3 linked regions of the Kluyveromyces lactis genome follow. The protein of the gene in region 3 binds, or shares a complex with, the protein of the main gene of each other region. Links are inferred from orthologs where the notes say so. Each region holds a gene or a part of one and is shown on either strand. Other genes may lie near its edges.

Region 1 (4,263 bases), on a different chromosome or scaffold from region 3:
CATGGAGTAGAATCTTGAGCAATACCATGCAATGCACCTGCTTTACCAGCAAGAGATTCGACAAACATACCAATTGTCATACGAGATGGGAAAGCATGAGGATTAATAATGACATCTGGTTGAATACCTGTTTCACTGAACGGCATGTCAATAGTTGGCCATTTTCTAGAACAGACACCCTTTTGACCGTGTCTGGAAGAGAATTTGTCACCGATTTGAGGAGTTCTTCTGATACGGTATTTAATGGTAATTGCTTGCAGTTCTTGGAATTTTGAAGATTCGTCACCAATTAATTTAACTTCCTCGATATATGCAGGTTCAGAAGAGTGGTAAGTTTTGATCTTCGTTTTATTCAAGGTGTCATCAAAGTATGCACAAATTGGATCACCTTCTTCAACGTAGGTACCTATCAGTGGTAAACCATCGTCGTCAAGCTTTTCAAGCCATTCCTTGGGCCACTCGTCTGTACCGAATCCGAAATGCTGGGTAATTGGATCACCACGGCTTCTGTTCATAGACAAATTGACCTTTTCCACCTTATACATTGTACCATATCCAAAACCTCTTTCATCAGCCGATTTGTTGATAATCATTGCATCATCCATATCGTAACCAGTGTAAGAAATAACCGCAACCACTGCATTGGTACCGTTAGGGAAGTTATCCATACCATAATCATCGTAGAGGTTAGCCTTAACAATTGGTGTCTGACCGGTTTGCAACCTGTATAATTTGTTATCAGAACGATGGCATAGAGCCACACCAGGAGTACCCATGGTTTGTTTACCCATTTGACATTGGTACATATTTCTTGGAGATTGATTGAAATCAGAGAATGGTGTTAGGTTAGCCAAGATAGAAAGAATGTTTGTTGGAGAGAACTCAACGTGGGAATGAACGTTATTTTCGATTTCTTCCGGAGTCACAGCAATATTCATATATACTTGTTCAAATGGACCCACAATATCTTCCTTATCTAATGGAAGATAACGCACCGGACGCATCATTCTAGAATGACCACCAAAGAGGAAAAGACCGGGGTATTGACCACTAGTGGTAGGTGGAACATATCCAACTTCCAAGTCTACAGGCAAACCCGGAGTCTTGCCTTCCACTTTCCAGAATCTCAAAGTGTCAGCAACGACCTTACCCTGTTCGTGAGAACACCAACCGATAATCTTACCATCTAACTGAACGCAACACATGGAAGGACCAGCAGCAATGACGTGTGCAGCTGGAGTGACACCAAGAGAGTACAAGATGGAAGGTATCTTTGAAACATCTGATTGTTCAGTAGAAATTTTACATTTATGCGAAAGATGGTTCAATAAACCACAAGGAGAACCATCTGGAGTATGCACCGGACAGAAGAAACCCCAGGATTCCGGTAACAACTTTCTAACGGTAGTAGTCTTTAATTGAGCAAAGAAGGAACCTCTATGCACCATTCGGAAATGAGAAATGAAACGGTAAAAGTTAATCTTTTCTGCCACAACAGTGTAACCAGAAACTTGCTGCAAATCTAGACCAGATTGAGAAACCAAATTACCAGTAGATAAGAAATACTGTAATTTTGACCCAATGTTTTCATTGACTCTCATAAGCACCTTGTTCATATATTTTTGATCCTTAAAGTTGATAGCTAACCCACGATTTATGTCTGTTTGAATTTGTAACCTGATGTTTTGTAGGTATTCTTCAATTTTTTCCTTGACAATCATACCATACAAGAACCCACCTAATAGAATTTCTTGATGTTGAGCTGCATCAGGATTATCTGGGGAACATTCACCAGCAACCAACGAATAGAGTTTTCTGATCATGAATAATAGCATGTTGAATTTGTCTTTGTTGTTTTCACCAAGGTGAACTAAAACAATACGGTTTAAAAGTTCCTGGCCGACTTGCAGATCGGTCATATCGGGAGAGGCTTGGAATACAACACGGAATTTGTCACCCAAATATTGCAAAGTTTGTTTACGGTTTTGTAGAGTTGGGTATCTCTTCTTGAAGCCACGTAGTAACAATTCAAGACGATCTGTCAAGAAAGAATTAGAGGTGTCTCCACCGACAACGTGATCAAAAATCTCTCTATCATTGGTATCGCATAGTGCTCTTAAGATCATTACCACTGGAATTAAATATTCATTTTTCCTCCAAGAGAACCTGAAGGTAACTTGACCATCGTTTAAATAATGCAAGACGTTAGTTTGAGATGTTTGATCTGGTCTAACGGATCTAATCTGAATACCATATTGGGAGTAGGAGGCACCTCTGTTAGCAAATGAAGGTCTAATGATAGCCATTGGATGGTTTCTACGTTGCACAATTAACATTCTGATCAATTTTTCGATACCATTAACAATGAAGTAACCACCAAATTCATCAGATTCTTCCCTATGTTCGACTAATTCGTATGGAGACATCTTGTTCAAATGACATCTATTGGACTGAAGCATGATTGGCAAACCACCACAGTCTCTTACTTCAGTAAAAGTTTCTTCACCATCATTGACCGACCATTTCAACTTCAGCAAAATTTTCCCTCTGTATGAAGTCAATCTCTGTCTGGATTCAGATGGGAAAACCTTGCGTTCTACTGCAGAAGAAACACCATCGTTAGAAGTTGGTTTAGAAATAGACACCTGTTCAATACTCAAAGATAATTTGTTACCCAAGTAGTTTGGGTTAGTGTCCGATCCCTTACCATCGAAAATAACTTTGGATCCAATATCTTTTGCCCCTAGGTTTAACAAACCACCATCAGGTCCCTCAGTCAATGCATTGAAGGAGCCAATGTGTGGCTGTACAGCGTCCGCTAGGAATGGGTATGCAGATTTATCCTTTGGAGGATTAATAAATCTTGATTCTCTTTCCAAAGTCCTGAAACTAGCAGTTCTGTTCAAACGCTCAACTGGAGCTTGTGGAGGAAGAATAACCGAAGACATGGTAACAGCTGATATATCTTAATGGTATTATTATTAGCACTGTCCCGCTTCCTATGAATCCTGCGAATATTAGCCACCGGTTTTATGATAGAGCAGATAACGTATATTAGGTCAGAACAGTGAAAAAAGGCACAATGGTTTTCGGTTTGAAGTAATCGAAAATGCTGTTTGAAGATAAAATCAAGCTATCCTCGAAACAATGGAATTCAAGCTTAGAAGAGAGAGTATTTTAGTTAATTGAATGTTGTTGCTTGTCAATTAGACTGTAGTGAATAAAGAATCTAGATATAGATGAGATGAGATGAGCTGAAAATTTTCAAAAGCTGATATTTCAATTTTTGCAAAAGTTCTTTCTTTTCTTTTTCACCACGTCCGTTTGATATTCCTCGCAAGTCACGTGAGAAAAAAGAGAAGAATGATGAATTATTATTATTATTATTATCACATGACGACCGTCTCTGATGTGAGTCAGCAAAGGACTCCACCAGACATCAATTCTGCCTTGTTGGCGCAATCGGTAGCGCGTGTGACTCTTAATCACAAGGTTGGGGGTTCGAGCCCCCCACAGGGCTTTCTTTTTACCCCCCTCATTTTTCCTTTTTTTCCATCAACCATTTCTCCGTCATTCGAAGCATCAACTTCAAATTCTGGCCGCCAGTAACAATAAAAAAAAAGATCAACACACTAAGAATGGAAAGAGCTCCAAATATAAAACCACCCACGGCTTAACCAAAACAATACATGTTACTGAATTCTTTTCTGTACCAATAAGGCAAATGTTTCCCCCAACACTTCGCAAATGAGGTTAAACGAGGAGAAAAAGGTACCAAAAAATGGTGTGGTCCCAGCAACATTTAAACTCTTGGCGGTATTAAACCCTTCCTAATCTGTCAGGCTTTTCGCAAATCTAGAACTAAAAGTTACTGCTGAACTGGTCTTTCTTGGAAGAAGAACACTCACAAACTGAGTAGTGCAGGTATGTAGCTGAGGAAAAAAGTCTACTGGAGACTTCCTGTCTCAAACAGCAAACAGATGAACACCTTCCATCTACACTAAGGTACATCGCATATTCCCGTATTTTCAAACAATTTCCCAAATCGCTTCTCGTTTTCCGTTTTGCTAACCCCAGCAGTATGCGGTTATTGTGTCGATCTGGTCCTTCTTGTGCCTTTTTTTTTTGTTTACCTTTCCAGCTACTGGAGTTTCTGAGCTTTGCAGGCTCCAAAATGGCATCCTTCTGAACCGACGTACACGTGCTTCTATTTCCGTCTTATAGAGTTTCGAAACCCTGCCGAGCAAAAGAAACAAAGCCAAA
Region 2 (2,520 bases), on a different chromosome or scaffold from region 3:
GTACCACTGCAGATACAACGGGTTACCGCACTGAAATGACGAACGTATCCTCACTGATCATTAATCATGATCATTATTTTATGTTGAAAAGTCTTGTAAAGGTTGCGCTGATTGCAGAGGGCAGCTAAATTGGGAAATTTCAGGTGAGAAAAGGGAACAGGCCCGGGTAACCATTTTCATTGGGTAGCTACATTTGTTAATGGCCAAAGAGGAGAGATGATGATCTAGTCATAAACTTCCATTGATATAAAAGGGTGTTGTATATATGTATTTGAGTGTCTTCCATTACCAATTGAGTGAGATCAAATACACTCAATTAGTCAATGGGTTGTTATAGACATAAGTATATATATAGATATCCCGAGCGATTGAAGTGTGATAAAGGGAAGAAAAAAGGATTAAAATGAAAAAAAGAGTCAATTCCCTAGCTTATTTCCTTACAATTCACCAGACTTAGCGATAACAATTCTGGCCTTGGTAGCACCGGAACCGGAACCCAGGGATTCGACCTTCTTGACGACATCGAAACCATCAGCGACTTCACCGAACACGACGTGCTTACCATCCAACCATGGGCATGGAACAGTGGTGATGAAGAATTGAGAGCCGTTGGTGTTTGGACCAGCATTGGCCATGGACAACAAACCTGGCTTTTCGTGCTTCTTGACGAAGTTTTCGTCTGGGAACTTAGCACCGTAGATAGACTTACCACCGACACCAGTACCGTGAGTGAAGTCACCACCTTGCAACATGAAGTCTGGGATAACACGGTGGAAAACAGAGCCGGCGTAACCGAAACCCTTTTCACCAGTAGCTAGAGCTCTGAAGTTTTCAGTAGTCTTTGGAACAACATCGTTGTACAATTGGAAAACAATTCTACCCAATGGTTGACCGTCAGCTTCCACGTCGAAAAATACCTTAGACATTCTTAGTTTAGTTTAGTAGTTGATACTTGGTGTGTTGTAACCAAGATTTTGCAAACCAGAACAGAAGAGCAAGAACTGGACTTGAATTGGAATTGGATTGAAGTTGAATCAGAGTTCAATTGAGAAAGTGGTTGGTAGTTGCTAACAAAGGGTGGCGTTGGCTTCGCAAAATGGTATTAGGTGATGACATGCGGCCGGGTAACGAAAACGGAAACCCCATTATCTTACACATCAACCGCATTGTCGCCGCAAGTCACGTGACACACGTGACTTGCATATTTTGTTAACATCGCAAGGCACGGAGAAACATGCCTGAGTTACCCGTGCCTCAGCTGAAAAATTCTTCGAGAGACAAAACCTGAATCGAAATAATGCGATGAGATGAGATGAGATGAGATGAGATAGCCAAAGGTTGGGTAAATATATAGATGCTGATTTGATTCATCGCACTCCAACGAACAACCACGTATACCATGCTAAGGGGAACTAGAAGACCAGCAAACTCCACTTTGAACACGCCCGTTGTGGTACATACGGTGGGCACGCCAACATACCTATCTAAAGACGAAGTACTACAATTCCTAGCAAGTTTCATTGCCGAAAAGGAATCAGTACCAGGCGTGACACTAGCGTCAAGCGGAGCTTCTACAACCCAGGGAGCAGTAACTTCTGGTGGCATTAGTGCCGATGAAATGGCTCTAGATACACAGCTTTCCAGTGCTCTTGCGCAGCTGAAAAGAGTCGAAAGAGATTTCAAAGGTCTACCACCTCAAGTAATGGAGATGGAACCCTCCAGCACAAGTTCTACTGGTAATACAGAAGAAGATACGGTGGCTAAATCTGCTACTGGAGGGAAAAAGATCAAGTTTGCTGATGTGCCGGAATCTTCACAAACCTCCAGTGACAGCAAACAAACATCCTCATCCTCGGAATCGTCATCAGACTCTGAATAGACGGCTGATTTGCACTACCCACGAATCGGGAGGGTATTCATTCATTATATATATATATATATATATATATATACATACATACGCTAAGTTACATACAGTGACCGTTATAATCAATGCATAAGCTTGGAGCTCACCCTAATTGCAACATACCACGTGACTTCAAATACACAACTTTTTCTTTTCCAATGGGCTCACCTGCGGTTTCTTTCACACAGAGAGAGTGTGAGTCAGTTGGAATTTTTCGTCAAAGTGATATGACATCAGTTGAAAAGAATATCAACATTAACATCCGATTCCTTACTACCAGGTATATATTTGTACACACTTGTAGCATTCATCGTTGCTCTACTTTGCTTCTAATATACTTATCTCATTTTCTTGATCGTATTTATTCTAAAGCGATAAAGAGGATCTGAATCTTGCTTAGGAAGATTAAGAAAGAATCACTACTTATAATATACTATAACTATGGGTAAGAAAGTCGCTGGTGTCTTAGGAGCTACTGGTTCCGTTGGGCAAAGATTTATCTTGTTGTTAGCTGACCATCCAGATTTTGAATTGAAGGTTTTGGGTGCTTCTTCCAGATCTGCAGGTAAGAAGTATGTCGATGCTGTGAACTGGAAACAAACCGATTTGTTACC
Region 3 (3,174 bases):
TTTCTTAGATCAACTAGAACACGATTCTGAAAAGACATATCCGCCGCTAGCAATAGTATATGGTGATAGGGTTCCGACGGTCAGAGGTGCCAAGGTTAAAAATCGGGAGGAGATAAAGAAAGGACTGTATCAAGACTTTTATTACGGACCTGGTGACGGTGTTGTACATCACAAGTGGTTACTTCCAGAAAAATGCGGCTTTCCTATTGTAGCAAAGATAGCTAGCGAAATGCCACATGTAAGCCTCATGACAGACTTTGAAGCTATCTCTAAAGCCTTCATTTCCATATTGGACGCTGAGCAAACAAATACGGAGAAAGAACCGTAAAAATCTAGATACATTCAGTATGCTTTTTGACGTGGCTCTTAGTATGCATAAGTAAAGAAACATACCTGTAAATAGTGTGAATTTTTCATGACACAATAGATACAATATAAGGAAGTTCTTCAGGTTTTAATTGTGAAAACATAATTGATATGTCACATCACTCTTCCATAACGTCAAATAAGACTTTCAACCATAGTGAACAAGCCGAACATTGCACCAATACGAAATATCCACCTCCCTCATAATCTATCGCATGTTCTTCCAAAGCATCTTCGGTTAATTGGAACCCATCAGTTATTTGACACCTGGGACAATTCATCGAAAAAGATTGTTCATCTCCGCTGTAATCGAACAGATCTAGAGAGAAAAGATCTAGACCATCACCTGCATTGTGAAAGCCAAGTTTCTTGAACGATTCAGCAAGTTCCTCATCATATTTTTTCCTCAAATCCTGATCAATGAGGGTCTGGTAAGCTTCCTGGATATCAGTAACAGAATGACTAGATGTATTGTTTCCGTTGGAATTATAATTCAATCCAGATTTATCAGGATGTGTTTCCAGTAACATGGCCCTATAAGCTCTTTTAATTTCGATATTACTGGCATCGCTTTCAATGCCCAAAATTTCATAGAAGGATCGTTGCATTATGATAACTGGATGTTCTGCTACAGAACCACTCAACTTGGTATAAGTGCTGACATAGCTTTTTGTTGATGTCTGTCAACATTTCAATGAAATATCAAAAGCTAACCTCATCGCCTCTAACAGAGCATTGAACGAAATACAACACAGAAATCTATGAAAAAGCAGGTTTAACATGCAGCAGAAAAAGTAAGGCGTCCTGACTAAGCTTGGTGTAACGAGGTACTATAAAAGGCATTTATTAATCTGGCAAACGGTCGAAGTTTCGTCTTTCCAACTCAATAATCCAATGGTTCGGTCACATGACTCTTGTTTCTTTTTCCTTGATCGAAAAATTTTTGGATATGCGATGAGATGAGATGTAAAGCATCGATCACAAACTATATTGGGAAATTAGTACATCATTGAAAGGTATCCCAAGGTCCGAAATAAGCTGACTGTGTAGTAACTAAGAGTGTGGAGATGGGTTCCAAACGTGCATTCACTGAGGTTGGTGTTTCAGCTTATCATGATGAACCATCTGTTGCTGTAAGTAGCTTCTTTAAGGGCTTCCAGGCACCAAAAGATACCACCTTCGAGCTATATAAGAACAAGAAGAACAGCGACAAATACGTGTTACATGGTGAAAACGATAGACTAGAATATGAAGGTCAGACTGACGATGATTTTGTTAATTCTTCTCAGTATGTTGTTGGTGTTTATGATGCCGCCACGAAGTCTGTAGAATTGTACAAGGCACCACTGGTATCCAGCAAGGTTCTTTCCAAATCTAGAAAGAACCTAATGGGACCTGACATTAAACAGGCTAACGTCCGTGCTGCATTGATGAGAAACGCTTTAGGTGAGGCGTTCGGTACTAAGAAGGCAAAGAAGGCCATTGCTGATATGGAAAGAAACCGTATTGATTCAGACAAATTGGTTGATTCTGCGATAGATATTGTAGACACAGTGAAGACTGCTTCGAAAGAACTGCCTTCAAAGGAAGAACTGCAAGAAACTGTATCTTCTGATAGACCAACTCCGTTGGCTGATTTAGACGCAACAGATGTGGAACAAATTTATCCTTTATACAACATAATACCCAAAAAGGAATGGTCATTTATTCGCGTTGGCAGTATCATGAAAGAGCAAGACCCAGAAAAGAGGCTAGAATATTTCCCATACACTAAATTTCAATATGTGGCTAACAAGTTGCCAACTCTAACACAAGCAGCACAAATGCAAAAATTGCAATTACTATATTATTTATCACTTTTGGCTGGGGTGTACGATAACAGAAGAGTTAACAACAAGACAAAATTATTGGAAAGAATAAACAACCCTCCAGATGCCCTATTAAATGGCATTTTGGAAAGGTTTACCATCTCTAGACCTGGTCAATTTGGTAGATCAAAAGATAAGTCATTCTTTATCGATCCACAGAGGGAGGACAAATTGCTATGTTATATTTTGGTAATTATTATGCATTTGGATAACTTCATTGTTGAAGTCCCACCTTTAGCTCAACAACTAAACTTAAAGCCTTCCAAGCTTGTCAGTCTCTTCAAAATCTTAGGTGCTACCGTTAAGGGTGCTACTGTAGCTCAAGCTGAAGCCTTTGGCATTCCAAAGTCTTCTGCCTCAACGTATAAAATAGCAACTTTGAAGGTACCATTCAAGCTACCAGAAATGATTAGAAGAGGTAAAGGGCCAAGAAGGTAGCTTATCCCTATGATTTAAGTAGAACATGCGTTTGTATAATACTTTTTTGCAATTGATCTACACTTCTTCAGAAATCTATTTTACTATATAAAGAAAAAGAATTATTCATCTCGTATTATCAACCTTCATCTTATAATGATCAACTAAAAGAATACAGAAAGTGATGGTATAATCGAGAAATTAGAACTTAAACATCATATATAGAACCTGTGGATATGCAAGATGTTGGGATAGGTGTCGATCTGGGATCTACCGAGTTTAGAATAGGTATTTTTGATTATTATACTGATAGCCTAGTCAAGGAAACGAAAGAAAAAGTCCCTTATTTTAGGCATGGAAATGGGATCATTACCCAATGTACCTCTGATATTTTAACTGCTGTAGAAAAAGCATTCAATACTTTATATATCCAGGAGTACAACATTTGTTCATTGGGTGTAGGAGCAACTTGTTCGATGGTGGTTGGGAAACAGAAAGATGAGAACTTAATTCCCTTCAATTT

What was found.
Region 1: RPA49 (region 3) and RPA135 share a complex: the UniProt entries of both Saccharomyces cerevisiae proteins name them as parts of the RNA polymerase I (Pol I) complex. The link is inferred for Kluyveromyces lactis from reciprocal best matches to the Saccharomyces cerevisiae genes RPA49 and RPA135.
Region 2: RPA49 (region 3) and RPA14 share a complex: the UniProt entries of both Saccharomyces cerevisiae proteins name them as parts of the RNA polymerase I (Pol I) complex. The link is inferred for Kluyveromyces lactis from reciprocal best matches to the Saccharomyces cerevisiae genes RPA49 and RPA14.

What each region holds. Positions count from the first base shown.
Region 1 is NC_006038.1:556,444-560,706, forward strand, and holds the start of RPA135 (DNA-directed RNA polymerase I core subunit RPA135), read right to left. Parts: upstream 2,949-4,263; coding exon 1-2,948. UniProt on the Saccharomyces cerevisiae protein: DNA-dependent RNA polymerases catalyze the transcription of DNA into RNA using the four ribonucleoside triphosphates as substrates. Component of RNA polymerase I (Pol I) which synthesizes ribosomal RNA precursors.
Region 2 is NC_006040.1:1,414,748-1,417,267, forward strand, and holds RPA14 (DNA-directed RNA polymerase I subunit RPA14), read left to right. Parts: upstream 1-1,399; coding exon 1,400-1,879; downstream 1,880-2,520. Other genes in the region: peptidylprolyl isomerase CPR1, read right to left, coding at 438-926; HOM2 (aspartate-semialdehyde dehydrogenase), read left to right, coding at 2,348-2,520. UniProt on the Saccharomyces cerevisiae protein: DNA-dependent RNA polymerases catalyze the transcription of DNA into RNA using the four ribonucleoside triphosphates as substrates. Component of RNA polymerase I (Pol I) which synthesizes ribosomal RNA precursors.
Region 3 is NC_006039.1:266,469-269,642, reverse strand, and holds RPA49 (DNA-directed RNA polymerase I subunit RPA49), read left to right. Parts: upstream 1-1,433; coding exon 1,434-2,672; downstream 2,673-3,174. Other genes in the region: KLLA0_C03003g (uncharacterized protein), read left to right, coding at 1-328; JJJ3 (Jjj3p), read right to left, coding at 486-974; MPA43 (Mpa43p), read left to right, coding at 2,888-3,174. UniProt on the Saccharomyces cerevisiae protein: DNA-dependent RNA polymerases catalyze the transcription of DNA into RNA using the four ribonucleoside triphosphates as substrates. Component of RNA polymerase I (Pol I) which synthesizes ribosomal RNA precursors.